Lepisosteus oculatus: one gene and its partners. The protein of the gene in region 2 purifies or fractionates together with the protein of the main gene of each other region. This does not show direct contact. Links are inferred from orthologs where the notes say so. Each region holds a gene or a part of one and is shown on either strand. Other genes may lie near its edges. The genes, in order: pard6ga, llgl2 and rad18.

The links.
Region 1: the proteins of llgl2 (region 2) and pard6ga purify together in Homo sapiens (affinity purification with mass spectrometry; 4 studies listed by BioGRID and IntAct, counting the BioPlex papers as one, with this or other methods). This does not show direct contact. The link is inferred for Lepisosteus oculatus from reciprocal best matches to the Homo sapiens genes LLGL2 and PARD6G.
Region 3: the proteins of llgl2 (region 2) and rad18 purify together in Homo sapiens (affinity purification with mass spectrometry; 3 studies listed by BioGRID and IntAct, counting the BioPlex papers as one, with this or other methods). This does not show direct contact. The link is inferred for Lepisosteus oculatus from reciprocal best matches to the Homo sapiens genes LLGL2 and RAD18.

Annotation. Positions count from the first base shown.
Region 1 is NC_090705.1:16,173,795-16,182,217, forward strand, and holds the start of pard6ga (partitioning defective 6 homolog gamma), read right to left. Parts: upstream 3,272-8,423; 5' UTR 2,937-3,271; coding exon 2,897-2,936; intron 2,769-2,896; coding exon 2,620-2,768; intron 1-2,619. Other genes in the region: probable 2-ketogluconate reductase, read right to left, coding at 5,637-5,790, 6,338-6,434, 7,423-7,601. UniProt on the Homo sapiens protein: Adapter protein involved in asymmetrical cell division and cell polarization processes. May play a role in the formation of epithelial tight junctions. The PARD6-PARD3 complex links GTP-bound Rho small GTPases to atypical protein kinase C proteins.
Region 2 is NC_090704.1:36,051,016-36,058,467, forward strand, and holds the start of llgl2 (LLGL scribble cell polarity complex component 2), read right to left. Parts: upstream 3,187-7,452; 5' UTR 2,946-3,186; intron 1-2,945. Other genes in the region: galk1 (galactokinase), read right to left, coding at 5,157-5,228, 6,089-6,251, 6,379-6,529, 7,395-7,452. UniProt on the Homo sapiens protein: Part of a complex with GPSM2/LGN, PRKCI/aPKC and PARD6B/Par-6, which may ensure the correct organization and orientation of bipolar spindles for normal cell division.
Region 3 is NC_090699.1:53,229,241-53,236,765, forward strand, and holds the start of rad18 (E3 ubiquitin-protein ligase RAD18), read left to right. Parts: upstream 1-4,073; 5' UTR 4,074-4,419; coding exon 4,420-4,473; intron 4,474-5,000; coding exon 5,001-5,082; intron 5,083-5,371; coding exon 5,372-5,433; intron 5,434-7,525. UniProt on the Homo sapiens protein: E3 ubiquitin-protein ligase involved in postreplication repair of UV-damaged DNA. Postreplication repair functions in gap-filling of a daughter strand on replication of damaged DNA.

The DNA of each region.
Region 1 (8,423 bases), on a different chromosome or scaffold from region 2:
TTGCAGTTGTTTCATGCTGGACTTTCAGTGCAAAAGCAGTGGAGCTGGGCTGGCTCAGCTGGACAAAAAGCCCTGGGGGTTTACGGACTGGAAGTGAATGAAGAAAGGCAAAAGCACACAGACATATAAACAAAGTTATCTTTTAAAAATGGCATATGAATCTCAAAAATGTGCAAAATAGCTTTTTAGAAATCACAGCTCCCTTAAATGACGCTAGTTAGGAATTTAATTATTTTCATTTAATCTGTGTTGTTAAAAAAAACGTCTGGAGAGCTTTACAATGGCTTACATATTGTTTCTTATGATCTTTGCCAAGGGCTTTTTGTTTCCTTTAATTCAAATTGCCAACAAATGTGGAGTGACAACAACCATATTCATGATGCTGTCCAAAGCTCAAAAGATCAGTCAACCAAGGGGATACACTTTAGCTCAGGGTGCAGGTAGTCATGAATTCAACCCTGCGGTCACAACATGGGGCAAAGGCAGGTGTGAAGCACTTTCTGCAGAGTGTGGGACAACTGTGGGCGCTACAGTACACAGGGGCAAGAGAAGCCAGCCAGCTATTAGTTCCAGTCTCCTGCTTGAAGAGTATCTGAACTGATGCTATTCAGAATGATCAATTCAAGACAATAAAGTGACTGATAAGACTGTTGCTCTTCATCTTCTGAAACCTACCTAGGTTTCAATGCACTGTGGCAAAATCTACATTCCCATGCTATAAACCTCACCTTCTAGATATTTCTTTAGCAATATGCCTTTATGCTAATCAAATGGTATTTATGGCTCTGGAGATACAAATCTACCAACACTCTTGCTCCTTAAATAACTACTGCTGCTTAGACAAAGACGTCACTAAGTACTACTGCAACCTCTGCTTCACGTGCAGACTGTAATAATTACATCCCACACCAAGACTTACAAGATTAATGCCCCAGTAAGGAAACTGTGCTGCAGAAATAAGACATTAAACGTGCTACATAAAGAGCCCATGGCGCTTACTGGAAGAATAGGGGTGTTGACTAGCATCCTGGCTAAATTTCACTCCAGGCTTCAACAATCAGGCTTTCCTTACAGTCCTCTGTAATTCAATGGAATAAGCAATTCCTCACATCGACACTGGACCTGCTGTGTCGGGGGGGTGCTGGTGCTGAACGGCAGAGACATGTCAATCATAATATGGGGCCCGTACTTCTGATGAAGTGGGTCGTCTTCCCCACAAAAGAATTGTGGAATGAGAAGTGTAAAGCTAAACGCAAGGAATTGTGTCAAAATATTATTCACTGGGAAAAAAGTCACGTTGCTTAATTCTACCTTTAGAATAGCTGGGCAACAAGAAAAAGCATGTTCATCCAAACACTGCGCCTAAATGATCACAATTAATTTTAACACTCCTAGCCCTTATAGAGCTATGTGCAGAGCTTTGTCACGGCATGTTTACAACATCAGCTACATACCTGATAAGACAACATGATACTTTTCCTTTAATTATGGCTTAAATAAACTAAAAATTTAAGCTTCCGAACGCATGTACTGTGTGAATAATAATCCCTTCAAGAGCTGTTAAAGCGACAAAGCTCTGAAACAAACAGTGGATTGCAGCGCATTTCCAACTCAACGTGGTTTCGACGCAGGTATGAAGGTATAGATATAATTATTAATGGCGGCTCGTGTGACCCACGAGAACAGCAAAACGCTAGTTCTTTTTTTTGGGGGGGGTTCGAAAGTTAAAGGCAACTTTCCAAAGAACATCACAATTAGGAAATTGATCTACCCAGTTCTGGGATAGTGTGTTAGCAATATTAAGCATTATGTCGAGAAGCAATACATATCTTAACACCATAGCTTAGCAACAGGACGCCTAATTACAGCCAGACAAGATAGCCTAGTTTCTTGGAATCCGCCTGAGAAGTTGGACAATACGGCCAAAGAATGAATACAGGTGGTTGACAAAGACCGCTCCGAGAGATGAGTCACTGGGCATAAGCAAGTTCAAGCAGCCAAATCGTAAAAAAACATTTATCGAATTAAACCCCCAGTCTGAGTCACAGAGCACGCTGGATTTGCTCCTCCGGCAACAAGTCACGGCAGTTATCTTCGTTTCTGAATAGAAAGGCGTAGCGGGGTTTCTTTGGGGGTGGGGGTGATACGTGTTTTATTCGGCCCTTTCCTTGTAGCCTTTTCATTTCCAGTTTTTCCTGAAAATCGTGGGAGCTCAGTGTCCATGGATCTGCCATCTCGTTCGCTACCAGGCGAAATCCTTCGCTTGTGCGTGCAAATTCATCCAGGTCCCAGCTTGGCTGTTTAAACACGGATTCTGCCTAGCGTGCGTTTTTCGCACTCCACATCACTAAAGCGCAGTAAGAGCTCAGCAAAAACCGCAAAGATTTCTAAAAAGGGAGGGAGAGCATTTAACCGAGATGGATTGCAAACATTTACCAACTGGTAATTGGTTTCGAAAACACAGGAATGCGCAATTCCAAATTGCACTTTAGTAAGCGCGAGCGAACTCATTTGCAATTAAAGATCTCAATCGTTTGCAGCATCCACAAATTAAGAGACGAGTAAATAAGGAGTTTAACTAAATAGAGGTACCCCCGCCACGATAAAACAAATCCTTACCTTGCTTTTTACTTCAACAGCCGTGCAGTCCAAGTATCGTAAGGACTGGGATTTATTAAAACTCCTGTTCATTGTTTTGGTTACTTTCAGAAGTTCCCACTCGCCCTCGGAAACCAGGGCTTGCAGATCTGTCAGTGAATTCCTCTGTCCTGTGTGGTGAGCGGAAGAAAAGAAAGTTGAAAGTTTCTCCGTTGACTGTATCCCGAGGATCCGTAGCACTCGGTTGCTAGCTCGCCTGTGTTTCAGGAAAGCCGAAATGAAGAGCAGTAGAACTCACTGCCTCTGAATGGGGGAGTGAGTGAAGTTTGCGATGACATCACCGCGCCCCAGCAAGGATACAAACACTCCCCAAATCTGTCTGCTCTTGTGGCGGAGGGCTGTGTATCCTCCGCCGCAGCAGAGGACGCGGTTGTTTCAGGACTGTGCGCGCCCTCAGCGGAAGTTTTGGAAGAAGTTACTTTTTTTTAACCAAAATATAGTTTGTGTCTTGTACACAGAGGGATGTATTCAAAATAGCATCTAAAGCGATCGGCGGACGCATTGAGATTTGTAAAATAGGCCTGTTGTACTAGCTTTGCCGTAAAGCTGAAAGTTTGAGAAAAGTACACAGTAACGCAATGCAATGATCACACTTTGACGACGTTAGGAATTAGGACCGGTAGGGGGTAGGACTTTTGTGATGTTATGAAGGGGGGACGGGCGTGTAAGTTACTCCTAGAATAAAAGTTATTTATGTTATGTTTGCTGAAAACAGTTGCGGATGAATCTGCAGTGTCAGAAAGCTGCTTATTCACTCTGGACGGGAGGCTAGATTAGTGCAGGGAAAACACATAGATAAGTGTGCAGGAACAACCCAAGCAGAAAGTTTTTAGAAGGAGAAAAGAAAGGATAGCATCAGAGGAACATGTCAAATCCACACAGAAGGAGTCCAGAATTGAACCCTCGAGTTGTAAGACAACAGTGCTAACTGTCTTGCCACCATGATACCTGAGTAAACTATTTCACAATTTAAGGAAAGCACTTAAAATATGTTCAAAGTCACCTCATTTTATAGCATGACACTCTGTGGACCCACTTTGGTAATATGATATATCCTTAATTCATTTATTTTTAGAGGGAGCTGCCAATAACAAATGTGATGTTTTGGGAATGAAGTTAAAGTGTATCATGGGACAGACTGCTCAAAGCCTTCTCTTCCTACTACTATAAATCTATAAATCTTCATTCAGGCACTCTTTTGTTTTGTTATTGAGGTATTTTGCAGCATATTTTATGTTTTTAATGCTGCACCACTCAAAACAGAGCCAGGTCAGTCTGTGTGGGGTCTCAGGAGGCTTGGCCAACAGAGGCCATAGCTGTCTCCATGGTTACTGCTCCCTGTCAGCACAGAGACAAGTCTGACAGCTGTCTCTTTGTCTCTGGACACCTCCTCCCTGCCACTCACAGTGTGACAGCTTCACCTGTTCCATGCAGTGACCCTGAGGCAGTAACACCTAATGATACTTAACTGTGGTAATGTCACTGAAAGCTCTCCTATTCATTATTAATGAAAACATTGTTTCTCAAATGATTGATGTGGACAAACAGCCACTTTTCATAGGATCACAGACATGTATTGGGATCATTCACCCTGTAACACTACTATTCACTTCCAAAATCCAAAATAAATCAACCTTCATCAATTTTTTTTTTCAGTTATTGCAAGTGGCAAATACGATTTCTACTGATTTAACTATTTACAAAAAAAATGGTGTGGAACGTACAGGGACGTGTGTATATGAATGAGTTATAAAGTTTACTCTGACAGTTCATAGTTCTTTTTTTCATCCTTGTTTAACATGAAAAACAAGAGGAACATAGGACAGTGATACTCTGTTCCTTAAAGCAGGTTTTCATTCTGAGTTTTTTATTCACTTAACCGGTCAGGACCTAGAATGTCTGCAGTAGAGTTGCAATAATAATTCACAATATGAAACACTTTGACATGTCATCGCAGAAAAACATGCAAGACAAAAGTTTTAACATTTTTATTTATGTTGATTTACAATGTACATTTAAGAAAATATCCTAACATTTTTGGTGATGTTATAATATGTTATAATAATAAATTATTGACATAGAATTTAATCTGAGGTATTTTGTGGAAATAAAGTATATAATCTTCAGGTGCACGTTAGACATACAGATAAACCAAAGTAAAAGACAAAATGTATTGCGAAGAGTATGAATAGCATAGAAAATCATTAGAAAAGTAAAAGCGAATGTACGGAATCAGACGGTCTACAATTGTGTACAAGTGGCTCAGACTCCCCTCTAGTGGACAACATTTGTTCCTGCATAATTTCCCAGGAATTCGACAAAGAGGAAAACTGAAATCTTAATGCACCCAACAAGTGCTTGCACCACACTGTTATTACTTTACTCAAGAGCGTCAACTCCTGAATAGAGACGCTGTGACTTTGCACATACATACTATACATTTCATGTAAAATATGAATGAATCTTAATTTTTTAAACACACAGATATTAGTCATTCCAATTTGTAGTTTATCTTTAAATTTATGTTAACCTTTTTACACTAGGATTATTATTTAAAACCATAAGCATAAAACCTGTATGAGAGAGAAACAGAAAAAAAAACATACTATTATTAGGATTTCACTGTGCTTTCAGGCAATGTCATAGAGTCATTTTATCCTTTGAGATTTTCACAACTGTTGAAACCATCCTGAAATCAGCTTTAACTACCAATAACAAGGGAGCCACCCACAGTTGTGCTCAGGTGAACAGTTGTGTCCATTACACATCTATAACATGTCTATAACACATCTATAACTGATGAGATACATGTGATTGTAGACAGGCCTGTTCTCCAACTCCCAGAGAACTTGCATAGTTACAGTACAAGAAGAACACAGTGTCAGGTTATTTCCAGTGCTGTGCTAGGCAGGTCCAGTTCTTGAGTGTTGGGTTCCTGAAACTCCAGATCCAACGCAGAACCCTTCCCACCCCTGGCATTATGACTGCATCTCATCAGGGGCTGAGTTTCCGCTGAGGACAGCCAGGGCATTAGTGACCATTCTCTCCACCATCTTCTGGGTTGTCTCAAAAGTATGGGTTCCCATGTGCGGCAGCACAATGACATTCTCAAGCCCGAGCAAGGGGTGATCTCTATAGAGGCAAAGAACCGCAGCACAATATGTTGATGTCACTAGGTATCGCTCCACAGGCTGTGATATTGCCACTAACTTTTGAAGTGTTCATTCTGTGTCACTAGTTGCCCCTTTAAGGTGGTCCTCTTCCCCGATTTGGCTTTCCAGATAAGAACACTTAAACTCCGCTTACGATTACGAATCAATAAACTGCCTGTCACCATCAAATTCTTGCTATACAGAGAAGACAACACTGGCTGAGGAAGCTGAGCTGCGCAAGTAAATCAGTCACCCTGACCAAGGCAACATATATATTGATCACAGTTGAAATACCAGGGTCATCACTCAGGAAGGAGCACTCAGAAAAAACTCTGACAAATCCAAAAACAACATGCACAAACCACACAGAAGGCAGGCCACACTGAAACTGAACTCTGGACACAAGAACTGTGAAGCTGCAGACTTAACCTCCAGTGCCGCCACAGCCCCTGGTTAAGCAGGGAACAGAAAAGAACTGTGGGCTACAATGACAGAGCAATGACAGGGGGTGATTTGCACAGACTGACCTTGGCAGAGGTTCAGGGTAAGTGACATCCAGAGCTGCAGCTCCAATCACTCCTTTCTGAAGCGCATCTACCAGGGCATCCTGGTCCACCACCAAGCCTTCGGCCAAGAAGGAGAACATGTTTGTCTTTAACAATACATAACTTAAACCAGCCAACTGGAAAACATGCCAGTTAAAACACTAATTTTTACATATGGAAACTAGGCCGTATGCGAGAGCACATGAAAAGGAGTAATAAAACTATTGTCCCCTGACAGCTTCTGTTTCCCTCTTATTATTAGATGATTACTGAATTATTTCTTCACATCAGCACGAGGACTAACAAACTGCCTGTGGCATCCACAGAGGGGTATGATTACACCTGTTGAAGTCAGTTTAATTTGAATTACTTTTAATAAATCTCAATTTTAATGAATGTTTATTTGAGTAGTCAATGATTATATACCCAACCACTTTGGAATGACCAATTAATGAGACTCAGCCTTCCTGTAACAGCTCCTGTTGCTGTGAAGTGTGAATGAAGACAGGTTTACAATACAAGCTCCTATGATACATTCACCTGTCCATCTGTTGCTCAGGTCCAACTCAGACCCTAGGAAGATACCCAATTACACTAAAGCACAAAACATCTGCTTCTCTTTGTCACAGAAGTAGTCCCATTTGACATGGGGTAAATAAGCTGCCATTTGGCTAATTATTGTCCTTATTTTGCCACGGAAATATCTGCCACTGACTTTTTGGAGCAAAACTCATTTTAATTATTTTGCTCAGTTATGTGGTGCTGGTAGCTTTGCATGGGAAGTTGTCTTTGTCGGTCAAAGAATTGTTTAGAAATACCAACCACAAACAAATACTGTAATACATTTTTCATAATGCAGCTTATTGTTATTGTTTCCCACAGTACTGACTTCCTTCCAGAAGTTTGTAAAATATCCACAGTCAAGACTGTGCTATGTTATGCTTAAAAAATGAAATCTGAATGTGCTATTTAATGTTTCTTTTCAATTCCTGATAACACTACCAAAACCTGAAAATGTGCATTTTTGAAGGGTTCTGTCTTTTTGTGTTTTTCATTCAAGCACCTACCTCTGCTGATGTTGATGAGTGTGCTGGTGGGCTTCATCAGGCTCAGCTCCCTGGCCCCTATCAATTTGTGTGTCTGTGGTGACAGGTTTACCACTAGCATGACAAAATCAGACTTTTGCAGCAGCTCGTCCATCTTCTCACAGTAATGCGCTTCCACAGCTCTCTCCTCCTCTACTTTCCTGCGTGGAGACAACTCTCAGTGACAGACACCGAGGGCAATACTCAATACAGTACTGCTGTTTAATTATGGAAGATGGTACTTTGTTATTAGAGCTTGAATACTCATTAACTACTGTATTTTTGTACCTGAAATAAAATGTTTCATTTCTCTTACCTAACATCCTTTCCTGATGTCATCTCACATTCAAAAACAGCCTCCTTTGAATGGTATGTAGGCATTAAACATTAGACATTACTTTATTATTAATGATTTTATTAATACGAATGACTAATACTTTACTCTTCTTCTACAATCCCTGAACCACTGAGATTTGTACTTGCAATACCATTAAATCTAGTTACAACTGAAGAGTTTATCCGTCAAGGTTCAAAATCGCTCTACAAAGGGAATGTGTGATTGAATATAAAGAGTTGGAGCTTATTAACAAATATAAAGTTTTGAATTTTCACACCACTAGTATTAACTAATTAAAGGGTGGGGTCATATAGGTGTTTAGTAAATGCTAAGCAGTCAAGAAGAGACAGAGAGCTCTTGACTTGCAAGCCTCCCTTGTGTACAGTATATTGAAGTCACCCAGCATCATGATGTTATCACTGCAGCTAGTGAGGTGGAGAGGCCTGTAACGTCTGCTAAGAATGCAAAGTGGGATCTAAGATTGCCACAAATTAAAATGGGAATTTCATTTGAAAATGGATCAGTTATTTAATGGACATTTGGCAACAATGGGCACACCTTCCCCCCTATTAGTCTGGTATAATGAGGGTGGTGCTGTATGTGATTGCAGCCTGGATGATGCACTGATGTATTTGTATGTACTTGT
Region 2 (7,452 bases):
TTACATAATCTGAATGAAATAAAAGCACTAAAAATGGTTGTCCAAGAGACACAGTAGGCTCTGTGCAGAAGAAATGTGGGTGTCATTGGTTGCACTTTAAGCCGCAAACCCCCTACACCAGCAGCAATCAGAGCTGCATCATGCTCAGCCCCAGCAGGTAAACCCTCCTCACGACAGTGTGGGCTTGGGGCAGTGACCAGGCACGCCCCCACCAAGGGCATCAAGGTCTTATAGTGCTTAGAGACTTAGAGACACTGTCCAGCTGCAGAACTTGCCAGGACATAACGCGTATCCCAGGGGCATTCCTAAAGGCACATCTGAACTCACTTATAAGTTTTCTTTCTTCTGACCTACTGAATGCAATCTTGCATGAGCTGTAACCCTCAAACAGTGCCTCTACCAAAATGCCCTTTTATATAGTTAACTAGGCATATTACAGCATATGCAACAAGTAAGAGTAAACCTGCTGTTTCTTGCCGCAGTTACACTACCATCACAGTAACCAGGAACTAGGCTTTAGCAAAACACTCACTCATGTTTTTATACCCCTAATTCTATTATGTGGAAGATACCATTACAACTGACTTAAGAAAGGTCTGTGAACCCTCTGCTAAATTGCTGAAAGGTCTGTATTGCATGAAAGCATTAAACTCCACAACAGATCCTAGGTCTGCAGTGCACTGTTATGGTTGCAGGTATGAAGTGTGATTTATTTCTATAGAAATCATCAATCATAGTTATATATAATAAATGATAGTAGTTCAGGTGGGTAGCTGCGTCAGCATGCGTAGGCTGCAAAGGAACAAATAATAGGTTTATTCCATGCTGAAAAAAAGAAGAAAGAGAACAACGTTTCGTCCGTGGAGCCTTCTTCAGGTGTCAGAAGACCTGAAGGTCTATAATAAATGATGCCTGCCTCCTATGCACTGCTTTCTGAGCCACTGCAGGTTTTCTGATTTTCAGGCTGTTGTATAATACAAAGCATCATGGGGTGCAGAGAAGTCCCGATGCAAGAGACAATGGCAAGTGTAGGCCGGATCAAAATATAAAGCTTGTGCAGTGTATGTACTCTTTGCTTCGCCATCCACTTCCAGAGGCACTGAGAACCCCACAGGGGACAAACTGCTGAACAGCAGGTGTCCAAGGCAAAAATAGGCATTCTAGGGTGGAAAAAGACAACTGACTCAGCACTCCGGTCACCTGACACTCCACAGCCGCCATCTCCTTCAGAGACAACGCTGTTTGACCGCACCCAGGTTAAATGACAAAAGAAGCGGGATGCCCCTCTGTTTGGGCTGGTAACCAGGGTGGGCACCCCCACCTCAGCAAGCAGGAAATGCAGGATTCGCTACGAACGGGCGATACCCATTGAAAACAAGCCACAGCGGCCAAAGACAAAAAACCAAAGCAGCAGGTTGTTTTGGCCCAGTGTCTCTCACGGTTACGCACAATCTGTATTTTAAATTAAAAAAACATTTTGCACAGGTTTCTAAAAAGGGGACGTAACCTGTCACGCATTAAAGAGCTACTTTTAGTCCAGCAATGCACACTAACAGCCCATGATCCAGCTGGTTAATGCGAATCTGATTTTTTTAATCTATAACTTTTTCCCCCAACGTTAAATAATACAAAGAAGCAAACCCATCCAAGGAGACACAGGAACAAAAAAAACACACAAAACAATGGGCTGCCAGAGGTAATTACACATTTGAACATCAAGTTAACATGTTTTACATACATCAATTGTGTTTTTGCCTTGTTAGTTTTCAAGTTTCAATGGGGCTTAAGTAGCAATATTGCTTTTCCACCTATTAAGCATTAAAGGAAGGAAGAACATTAGACCATTTTGTTTGATATCTGTGATGTGATATCTGCCCAGTATTACTAAAATATAAAGGAAAATATTCCTTTTCCATACATCTTGCAAACTATAACAGAATATGAAGTTCGATAAATCTAACATTCATATGTAAATGTTTGAAGATAAAGTTTTGCAAATCTATCCAAAACTATATATATATACCGGTAAGGAAATGCTTGGGTGGCGTGGTTATTGAACAAACGGATGAGGTCATGCTGTTACTGCCTACCTCCAGCATGTTACCTGCAGTTAGGGGCGGGTGCCGTTTCGCTATGACGTCTCTCCCCCCCCACCTCTCAATTACAGCTGGTGGACATCCGGGGATGTCGAAGCAGGGGGTCGTCATAACCCACCACCCACCGATACATGTATGATAGTAACGAGAAAAACTCACTCATCTCCTGCTCCCTCCGCGTTCGTTTCCCTATTCTAAGTTGAGCACCTGCATGGTCGGCATGCCTCGCCTGATTTCTGCTGGTCATCCCAGTTTCTCCTTTTCTTAGGGTTGAATTATTTGAAACTCACATTAATACCAAAAATAACACTTTCCCCTCTGGGTAAACACTACCTGTAGTTAAGACTCCTAACATTCGTCCATCTTTACAACCCGTCAGAATGGAATTCGATATGCTTGTGATTTTTTACCAACCCATGCAACTTTTTGGGTAGACGTTTCTCGCTTACATACATTATTATATACTCCTTGTCTTTCAGGTCAACAACTGGGGTAGACTCCTCACAAAAGTAACGATGCCTACCACTCATGTGCCTAAATTATTTTAATTCCTTTTAATACTCTCTTCGGAAGAGAACGTTTTCAAAGAAATCTATCCCTACTGAGAAAATGAGTGTTTGCAGGTGGATTAGGGCGGTTCTTCGTACAATTCCCCACTCCTTCTGTTAACGGTAACCAGATACTTCTTACGGAGTACCCCGCTACCTGTATGCAGACAACCCTGAGTTTTCGCTTCTTGCTGGATGCCCGCCATATATCCAAGAACAACTTTCGACCCACTGCATCCCGACCCACAAGTTTCACCTGTGGAGGAGGAAACACTGCTGCCGTGGCCCAGCAAAAACTCACCTGGACCTCGACTGCGTTTCCCCGGGGCCAAACCAGTTACTTTCGCTCCTAAAACCTGCGGGTCCTTGCTGAGGCCTTCTCCAGGTTTCTAAAATCCAAAGCCGCGTCCCTGTGCCCAGTCCCACTTCCTCCTCCCAAGTATTCCCTGGTGTTTACCCCCTTCGTTACTTTCCCAAACTGCAGCCTCGATATTTCCTGCTGCCCTCTCCCGGGTTCAGCTGTCTGTTCTCGGTGACTCACCTCGCTCCGCCCCTCCCCAAGAGCCTCTTTCCGGGGTTTTTTTCCTCCTTATGGGAGGGGACATCACTTATTCATGAAGTTTCGGGGACTCCCTACAATTTCTAGGCAGCGATCCACAATTTGAAGTGAAAACCTCCCTCCAATACCGAAAATTGTATTGCACAGTGGCGGTATCGTAGCCTATGAGGTTTAGCCGAGTCGCGATTATTGCTAGTTGAAAACTTTTATTCCGTTGAACGCTCAGATCCCCCCGAAAGAATAGAAAAAAAATCTCATTTGCCTGCTGGTTTTGAACTCCCACATTAAGGTACCGGATTCAAAATGTAAAGTTATTCAAAATTGTACTACGTTTCGACGTGTTTTGCTTTTCTCGTTTTTTCGTAAGGGACAACAAGGGACAGAAGGCTGATACGTATTTTACAAGATTGCAGTTGTAAGTAAAACAAATGTAAAGTCTTTCAAAAACAGTAAAAGTGATTTTTAATTGGCGTTGCCCATTGTCGGTGTTTCAGCAGCATGCTTACATAAGGTGTCGTGGTTTAAGATCGTATTCGACTGTTGAGGAAACTCTTTTGTTTACTTTAACCACTATTCTCAGAAAAGATGAATCAGCGATCACCTTGATCTCGTTTGACCCTTGTTGGGAGATTATGTATATCCATCTTGCTACGTACTATAATACAACGAGCTGCACACTGCTTCAGCTCCAATCTGTCTCCTCAGAACCCCTTAACATAGGTTTAGTTTAATAAAAGTTTTAAATATTGCTAGTTTAACACCTCATCAATTATTACATTTGCTTTTCATTTATAACCACAAAAAACTAGGACGTGAAATCAGCCATCTTTCTGAGAAGGAATATATGTTAGGATAATACACTGACCTACAGTACGTCAACATCAAAGTCAATATATTGTCACTACAAAAGCAGTAGTAAAATGTAAGAACAAATACAAAATAAGACAGATGACTACTGTTATTACACGTGGGAGTTGTGTCATGCAGTCTTTTGAATATTTTGAATTTAGCTAAGGATTAACACTCAAGCTTTACACTCAAGTTAAAGCTTTTAAAACAAATGATTAAATCAATGATAACTCGGAAAACAATTGTGGCTGGCTCAGAAACAAGGATTAGTCTGCGAACTAAAGAGATTGTTGTTCAGCAATCCAGACTTGTGGTGACGGCAGTACAGAAAGTATTTGCATATAAAACAGCAATTTTAGTTTTTCAAAGTCACTCCACCACCTTTCATGTTTGTTCTCTGGTCTAGTTCACGAAGTGTGTGTGCAGCACTGGCTGGGAAGGGAATTAATTATTCCCAAATCTCAAGTGATCCTTTACATGACACCGAACAAGGGTGGGACAAATTCAACACATCACTGTCACATTGTGCTCACAGGAAGCAATGCAAAATAGTATTAATGGAATGCAAATGTCAAACGGACAAAGTGTACATGCCAAAGCATCTACCCTGACAGTAAACAACATGTTAGAGATGGCAATCTAAGATTATTTATGAACCGCACCACCATACCACGTAGGACTAGGGGCATGAGGCCTGTCAATGTAGCAGAACAGTATTCTCTCCTGATGTCTTGAATGGTTCGTCAGTGGGAGAGTGTCCCTAAAGATGGACACATCAGACCTCATCAAGACACCTTTGACCTTTTAGAGGGGTCTTAATGAAAAGAAGGATGTTTCAAGCCTGTTAGCTTTATATTAGTACTGTACATCTATGGACCACCTGTATTTTAATCATATTTAATACATTGTTTGCCACTGCACTGGGAGTTTGTATCTGTGCTAATAAAAAGAGATCTATTGTCCGTTTTCATGTTCACAATTACTAGAGAAAAATAATATTGTGCCACAGGTAATGGCATTTCAGTGAAGGCAAAAAAGAAATGGTTCCATAATAAAACAAATGCTGATTTATTGCTTTGGCAGCCACAGCAGGGCAGGTTGCATTCACAGGCTCAGGACTCGTGCTCCCTCTGATGGGGTGGTAATGTAGAAGGTCGGTGTTCCAGTGTATCGCTCCTGTAGAAACAAACACAAGGCAAACTCAGTTCCTCTCTTCACCTGTTTGCAGACAGTTACATGTAAAGACACAGTACATAGTCCCTCCTTCAGTTTTCTATCATTTTATATTTATATTCAGAAAAAACTCCATTTATACTCTTACAGTTACTACAAATCCTGGGTGTTATATGAGAGAAAATGCTGTTTGAAGTCCCAATTGTCTACCCTCACAGCAAATACAGCTATTTCTAAACACTACCACTAGTTTTCCTGGAGGACCAACATGCACAGAGTGTTAACACACAAACCTGTACAAAAAAACTCTAATCAAAATTAGATCATTGCTACGGTTTATCCATCCATTCATCTTCTAGCCACTTTATCCAATTCAGGGCTGCCAGGGAGCCAGAGCAATGGGCACAAGGCAGGATACATCCCAGACAGGATGCCAGTCTATCACAGGGCACACACAGACACAAAGTAGCACACACTCACACTAAGGCCAATTGTACCAGCAGCCAATTAACCTACCAGTTTGTCTCTGGACAGTGGGAGGAAACTGGATCACCTAGGGAAAACCCATGCCAACACGGAGAATATACAAACTCCACACAGATAGCACCCCAGGACTGGAACTGATCCCAAACCCAGAACTCCAGCATTGCAAGGCAGCAATGCTAACCACTGCCCTACTACTACACTGCCCTCTTATTTGTTATGTGTACTTAATAAAAGACACTACCTATTTCAGTAAGGGAGAAGAATACTCTCGAGGACCAGACAGGTTGTTTGTGAGTAAAATCTGCTCCTCTGTGAGTTCAGTTCCTATTCTGGTTCCTATCTGTGCTGGATCATGTGCCAGACAGCAGGGTGGGTACCTTTAGGTGCTGTATGACTCTGTCCACAGCCGAAGCCTCCAGCAGGGTGACGGTGCACCCCCCGAACCCCCCGCCCGTCATCCTGCTGCCGTACACCCCCTCCACCTCCATCGCCGCAGAAACCAGCTGGTCCAGCTCGGGGCAGCTGACCTCATACTGGTCCCTGGTGAGAACCGCAAAACACCGCGCAATCACTTCAGCTGTTTCTCCATTCGGGCTCAGTGTGAATCAGACTGTAACCCTTCCTCATCCTGGCTCCCCCCTGTTTTGACCTGTGCCACCCAGCTCACCTGAGAGAATTGTGACTCTCTACCATCAGCCTCCCAAACTCGCGGTACTCCCCCTTCCTCAGCGCTGCCGCCGCCTGGGCGGTGCGCTCGATCTCCTCGATCACGTGGCGTGCCCGCCGGTACGTCTCCCCGTCCAGTCGTCCCTTGGCACCTGCGGGGTGCACCATCCAGGTCAGAGTTCACGGAGCAACCATAGAGCGGAAGGAGCCCATTCTATTGCCAAATCGGTCAAGGGTCACTGATTCCAGCTCTCCTGGCACTCAAACATCCCTATAACAGTGTGCATTTGTCATTGTGAAGAAATCTCACCGGAGTTTATATGGTACCTTTGGAGTCCAAAAAATAATTATTTCCACATTGTGGAAATCAAAATGTTAATCAAAATAATTTTAACTTCTTAAATTTTGTCTTTGTGTTCTATGTTGTACCGCTAGCTGCTTAAATTGCCCTCCCAGGATGAATCAAGTATAGTATTTTGAACTAAATTGAATTTATGGCCAAAAAACGTCTTGCTTATCATCATTACTGTCCAAGTTCTTTTTTTTTTCAAAAGTAAAATAACTCTAATCCAGGACAATGTGATGCCTTATGTTGTCAATTTTAATGGGACCTCATTGTCTTTCACGGTACTATTGGATGAATAATCACAATAATCTGTATTAGTCACAGTTACTGCATTTTCTTTAGTTGATTGGGAATTTCTCATATTTAACATATTATTTTTTTGTATTTAGCCAGTAATATGGTGTCTGCAACCCTGATCCACGAGAATCACTGGCTCTTCTGTTGCGGATTTCCATCTACATTTCAGCTGAATTAATTGGCTTTTAATTAAGTGGCTTCTTGCCTTCATAATGGAGTCACCTTGCTTTGTATTCTTTTCTATAAATCCTTCTATTTTGCTCCAGTTTACAAAGTACACAAGGTTCTGTTCTGGTATTACTGTACCAGGGACAAGTCAAGGCAGTCTGATCAAAAGCACAGCCGGAGTGTGACGTCACTCTCCTCTCACTCACGCTCCAGGTCTGCCAGTGTGGCCTCCCGCAGACTGCTCTTTCCCAGGCCAGCAGCGGC
Region 3 (7,525 bases), on a different chromosome or scaffold from region 2:
CATGGCAGGCCTCCATGGGTGAATATCAGTACCCTAAGGGATATTATTCAAATCTGTTCCATGACTACCAATAAACTGCAGTTCCAAACAGACTCCCTGAAAGTAAAAATCTATATATAATTAAATAACTGAAAGTCAGAGGTTGCCAGGGAACTACTGATGGATAATGGGTTCTTGTCAAATTTTCTAGTTTTATGTGAGAACTATATCCAAGCCATGCAAAGGCAGTTCTTGTAGCACTTCACCATTCTTTATGAGCTTCTGTGCTGCACAGTACATGTCAGCACATGGAGCTTAAGAAGTAATAAATGCTCTATTTTCAGTGGCAGTATGTCATAGAGAAAGAACATTTGAGTTGTTAAAAATGAAAGACCCTAGAAAACCATCATATCAGTGGGATGCTGGAGGTCAGCAGCTCAGAGATGCAAAGAAAAAAAAAACATATTTTAATTCTACTTATGTTTGCCTAGCAACTTCCAATTAATGTATTTTAAAGGTACATTTTTGAGACAAAAGTTCAGAAGAAAGCGTAGTGTTAATCTTAAAGATTAATAGAAAAGTCCACATCACTCTAAGGAACATGTGTTTTCCGAGCACGTGGCACTCACTGCCTGTAAGAGATATAGTTATCATTAGCAACCTGCTCAGCTGTAATGTTCAGTAAAAGAGAACAGCATCTTGTACACTGTAGGCATCTAAGTTAAATTGGAAACTGAAAGGAAAAGGTCATTTCACGTGTTTTGACACTATTAAATATAATGACACCAAACACTGGACTGAACATAAATGTATTTCAGAAACTGGGTATTTAAAGAAGTCAGATTGCAATAAACACCTTTAAAATTGATTAATGAGTTGAATGTTATTAAATTGTAATATAGAAAGTATAGAATAGAAAACCACTATATGGTGCTTCAGTTCTGAGTCATGAATTATAACACTCTTAATTTATTTACTGTCTTTTTAATGCCACTAGGCTTTTGAATTATATAACAAATGTAATGACGGTCTCTTGATTTATATCCATGTACTGGATACATGACACATAGTTTATAGAACACAGATGGGCAACGGAAATATTAGATTTAGAAATGGCTTTATTCACAGCAGCCTCAATAGGATGAGACAAGAGAAAGACACATTTTGATTTTAAGAAACTAGATTACTGCATTCATTCTACAAAACCACATTTTAACTTCTTAACAAGTGATAAAGACGGCATTTAAAAGTCCGTGTTGTGAAATGTTGTGAACAGTCTTGTGAACTGGGCACAGGTTAACTTTCAAAATGAAAACTGAAAATCCAATTGTAGAGTTATGAGAATCTAGATGTGTAAAGGTAGTATGGGTGTCAGTATTTAATAAATGCAATGCTTGGAGCTGTTCTTCTGTTGAATTAACAAAAGCCCGACTTGTTGACCTTGTTTCTGCTTCCCTCACCACTTCAGTTTATTGATTTTTTTTTTTCTGAGAGACAGTTTTCAGTCTAGTCTACTGTAACTGGTCTAGATCAGATGGAAATGGGAATGTTAATCCTCTGTGTCAAGGCAAAGGATACGATCAGAAAGCTCAGATTTATTTTTAGCCATTATGTTCTTAAAGAGGTTATTCTCAAAATAATAATACAGCTCAATGTTCTTCCCCACATTACCAATAAAACTGCCTGCTTTGTGGATCAGTATCTTAAATATAGACCCCCCATCCATAACTTTGTTTACTTTAAAACATCCACAAAATGGGTTTTGACTTTAATTCAGTTTTCTGCAAAAGCTCAGGAAGTGTCGTAGGGAAATTGTATGGACAATGTATATTCTTTCAAAACAAATAATTTTAAACTACTTTTTTATATACTATCATTTTGTGACCATCATGGCAAACAAAGCTATTATATAATATTGGATATACTGTATCTAATTCATATATACTGCAGCTATACAATATACTGTAAAATAGTATTGGATGAGATGTAAAGCAAATGTCTGTGGCCACTAAAAATCCCAGGGCATTTCTCAAAAAAAGAGTTGGGGTGTTATCCCAGTGTCCTGGCCAAATGTTACCTTGGCCTTTACCAATAATGCCCTCCTAATAATCCCCATCTATGAATTGGCTTCACTACTATGTTCTCCTCCCCACTGACATCTGATGTCTACTGGTGCATTTTGGCTGACATTGCGTGATCCAGCTGGGTGCTAGATGTTGGTGGTGGTGATGATGATGATGCAGGAACATGGTGAAGATACTTGAATACTTGGTTTAGTTTGATCCACAAAATGAAAAGTATTTTTCATCCCCCAGAGGTTAGTATGCATATGACTGAATGAGTTCAGATAATTATGTACAGATGAAGATCAGAAAGATTGTTTTTAGTAAGAAAACACTCTCCTTTAGGTTAATACTGAGAAGCATACTGTATTCCTAACTTGACACTCACCCCAAGAGAGGGTACAGTAATGATGCAAAACAGAATAAACAGTCAGGTCAGCTTTCAAAAATAGATGGTGCTTTATTATTGGAAATTGAATTTTTGTTATTATGGACCCTATGTGAGTGTGTACTTGAAAATGACTGTATCTCTGATCCAAGACACGTGATTAATGGCTTCTTATACTGGACTACCTGATTAGAATTCCAAATCATTTAACTCCACAATACAATTCATTGCTTAATACTGTATGTCATTGTTCAAGGGTGTCTGAGTATAGTCTGCAATGAATTCACCCAAACTTCAGGTAGATGGGAAATACGCAAAATATTCATTAGTTGTCATAGATTAAAACAGTTATTTTTCAGCCACTAACTGTGGCTGAAAAGCTGATCAACACATTTGTGTTCTCCTGAACTGACTACTGTAATGCTCTGCTCGCTGAGGTATCTAAATCTACATTGAACAAACTGCAGTAAGTCCAAAATTTGGCAGCCAGGATCCTGACCAGGTCTAGTGCAAGTGATCACAATACTCCTATCCTGGAGTCCTTGCACTGGCTTTTTGTCAAATTCCATGTGGACTTTAAAATCCTCATGCTCACCTATAAGGTTCTGCATGGTTTGACACTTCAGTACCTGTCTGAACTATTATCGCCCTACTTCCCACCTCGCAACCTCTTCTAATTCTGGTCTCCTAACTGTTCCCCAAGCCCTTCAACATTCTATGAGTGACAGGGCCATCTCCTGCTATGCCCCCAAGCTCTGGAACTCTCTTCCCAAGGATATCGGAGTCACCTCCTCTTAACTCCTTCAAATCCAGACTCATAAGAGCCTTTACTTAACTGGTTCCATTCTTTACCCCTCTGCTCCTACTATACTTAGAACCACCATCCATGGTCTCCTCTGTGTATTGTAATTGTGTTTTATCTTGTGTATTTGTTTTATTTATTGTTGTTGTCATTCTGTAAAGCGCTTTGAGAAGCCACCTTTAAAGGCGCTATATAAAATAAAAATGTTTTTTATTATTATAATTATTTCTGAATTGGTGATAAAAAATACCTCTCCATTACACAAGATCTTCTTTTAGGCAATTTGAATGTGCAGCATGGAGAAGTAATTAGGACTCTGGAATCCAGTCCAGATAGCTGTGAGTTCATATCCCAGGTAAGACACTGCCATTGTACCCTTAAGCAAGGTAATTCACTCAAATTACTCCAGTCAGTAACCTGCTGAATAAATGGCTCCCCAGGTCATCATTATAAAAAATAGTTCAGGTTGTGTTCTCTTTCTTCTTTTTTTCAGCATGGAATAAACCTATTACTTGTTCCATTATAAAAAAAATAATTTGTATTCACTTGACATTGCTAAATAAAGAACTAGCCCATTATTACCAAAATAACCCTCCTGTTGATAAGAGAATGCCCTGTAAATCAGTAAATAGGAACCTGCAGGCGCTTCGAGGTATCACAGTTTTTAAAGTTCTTTTGAGATCTAATAATGCACCTGACCGAAGTGGGGGTGAAAGGCCCGCCTCACCAGTGATTTTCGTTTTGGGGCAGTTCCTTATTTTTCGCTTATTTTCCGGTGGAGGCGATTTTGTCATGGACGCGCGGCACTCTTGAGTGCTTGCACTGCAAATGTCCTATGTGTAGAAGCTCAATGGAAACAGTAATTATTTTCTCTGCGCTCATTTGTGCTACTAACATAGGAATAGAAGAAGTAAGATTGGATAAAGACAGTGGAACTTCGTACACTAAGGTTTACAGCCGTAAACATACGTAAAAATTAGTAATGTACTGTGATCATTGCAGATTCTATCAAGCCTACAACATCCAGTTCACTCTTCACTGCAGGAAGTGACGATTTTCACTGCGGAAGCTTTTACTCAACTTCCGGCACTGGCGCGGGAGTGTTAAATAATAAGTGTATTTGCAGTCAGGTTCTTTTTCTTAAAATTTGAAGTTAAAGAAGGAGTATTTTATCAAGTGTTTATAAAATGTCACAAAGCTTTACTGAAGCGGAAATCCCCCCTAATTTGTGTCATCTCAAAGTAAGTGAAGGAAACGTCAGTGCAACTCTTATTTAGGCACTGTATGATTAATGCTCCTTAGTGTAAGCAAAGTGCCTTAATATACGTTTATGCTATATATCCACAAAATTGATACCATGTGATGTCAAGAAGTAGTAGGTCATGAGACAACCGAAACTTACTGTTAAGTGTGCACCGTGAGAACAGATCCTTTGAACTTAGGTAATATTTTTTTAGGTAATAAAAGTTGCGATTATTTTCAAACTGCGGATTTTTCCTTTTTCAAGCATTTTGGATTGGCCTATCATTTGTAACCAAATACTACAGTTTATGTGCTCGTATTTACACAGCAGTCTTTTTGCCATCGCACCTTTTATTTCATTCAAGGAGCTGTGATGTTTCACTTTGTAAAATATTTACACTGTTGTGTGCGTCGTTCTTAAGAATGGAAAATAAATAGTAGTTTACTGTAGTGTAGATGAAATTACAGAGTACAGTAGTTGCTTGTAGAATAGCCAACTCAAGTTATGGACTCTCTTTGTTTTTAGAATCTAGATTCTTTGTTTAGATGTCCAATCTGCTTTGATTATCTGGACATTTCAATGATGGTTCAGCACTGTTCCCATAACTGTGAGTACACATTTCAGTTTGAGATTTGTAAAACATAAGTACATTATTTTTGTTTCCAAGCAAAACTTTAAACCAAAATGTTTATTTGGTCACGTTTTTTACTAAGTGCTTAAATAATTTCGATAGATTTTAAATGTTCCTTTTTAATTATATCAGAGAGCTCAAATCATGTAATTCTATAAAAAAAATGTGCTTGAACATTTTAAGTATAGAAGCTGCCTCCTGCAATGGTGTTGTTATACTGTGCTGTAGTGTGGATTCATATTAAAAATATGTTTGTTGCTTTCAGTTTGCTCTTTATGTATACGGAAATTTCTGTCCTACAAACTGAAGTGTCCAGTATGTAATTCGGTAAGTAAAGTATTCTTGTTTTAAAACTTTCCTTATACGTGCAAATTACCATTGTTCCATAGCATATTTATGTAACAATGGCATTTTGCGTGGATTAGAAAACCTATACCTAAATGTTTTCTGAAATCATGTGGTTGTCACCAATGAACAGGCCTACATACAGTATTTTGGTAAGAAATATCTGATGTGGATGTTGAAGGAAGAATGAAATTTCATATCTGTAAGCAGTTTCTATACAACCAGAAGCTGACATTTCTAATTAGATTTAAATAGTTCTATTTCTTGCACTGTTTTTGGTCAGGGGGAAATACTGTATGGGAACAAGTAAATGTTGATTTCACGCTGAAAAGAGAAGAAAAGAAACAATGTTTTGTCTGTGGTGCTTTCTTTGGGTGTAAAGGTGCTGTATCTGAGTGCTTTAAATACTATTATGCTTGTATGTTATTTCAGTATCTGATCAACATCAATGGCATTTGACAAAGCAGAACCAAACTGATTATTTTATAATCCCCACTGATTTTGGAAGGTTAAGACTATCTTCTTATGGTTTCAAATATTTTGTCAGTTCAAGCATTTAAGCTAGAGAGAGAAAACAAAAAACATGACTTGAGTTTTATATACTGGGAGGCATTAAAAAGGCAACACGGTCTTGTTGCCAATATTTTTCCAAAAGTAAGGGGTTCAGTTTATCAGAAAGAGAATAATTCTGCACTATTAGTTAACCAAATGTGCAAAACCCATTTCAGTCATTTGTATCGTAGGCATGTATGCAAATGTAGATGTGATCACTATGATGTTCAGATGTTACTGCGTCTGCAACTGTGTGCACAAACATGGCTGAAACAAAATCCCATGGCTTCCACAGCCATGGTAGGGTAGAAAAGAAGAGGCCATTGGGATGCCGAGGGCAAGTATGTCAGCATTTAGGGGAAATAGACACTGGTGTGCTTCACACGAGTTTAACTTGTTACTGACGGTAACCAAGTGGCCATGAGTCACCACACCTGTTTGAGGTATATCCCATTGAGATATCTCGGAGGATGAAATAAATAGTCCTGCATCCTAACCTACTGCCCAGTCACCTGGATGTCTACATATCCAGACCAGCTCCCAGACAGAAAGATAGTGTCTTGAGAATGAAGGCATAAGAACCCATTGTACACATAGGGTTGCTGTTGAATAACCATCATAGGGCAACATGTCATGCTTGGGCAACTGAAACTGGCCCAAGGCAAATTCAAGTTCAAGTTAATTTGTCAGTCCAGCCATATACAAGTATACAGAGGATCTGGATATTGTTCTCTGGGTCTTCGGTGCAAATACAGACACTGGCAAGAAAATGCTATAGACAATGTAGACATAGACATTTCTGACAGGGTACGGTGCAATGTGCATAGTAAAATTGGAACAACGTTGTATTAAGTGGAGGGTCATGGGCCTTTCTGATGTAGCACAACAGTGGGCATAGGGCATAAAGCAAAGAAGTACCATCCGCATTGTTTCAAACGTGGGTGTATCTGAAGCTGGAGATGTGATGGTATGGACTGCAATTCAGTGTAATTCATATATAAGCGCTTTGAGTGGAGTGTCCAGAAAAGCGCTATATAAGTGTAAGCAATTATTATTATTATTATATATATATAATTACAACAGAAAGTATTTCTCACGGGTCTCCTTCTTAAGCACTCAGTTTAGACACAGATAGTGCTGTTTTATGGCTCTTTGACTGTGCAAAACAATAGTGGCAATGTTGTTGGCACATGCATTGCACCTTACTTTGGTCAAAATTATGCCCTACACATTTATGTGTGAGAATTCATTATCACATATTGCACACATTTGTCAGACTTTCCTGTCACAGCAAATTATGCTTAGGAGGTACCAACCAACCTATTCATCTGACCTGAACCCAATAGTGTATCTGTGATACATACTGTGTCATTAGGAACCTATTCTGTATGTCTGCTGAGCATACTCAACATAAACACCCTTGTAATGTTTTTCAGGTGTGAGCATTACTTGCAGTGAATAGGAGATATAGAACTAACTAAAATGGTCTCCTTTAATTTGATAATAGAGTTGAACTTGAATA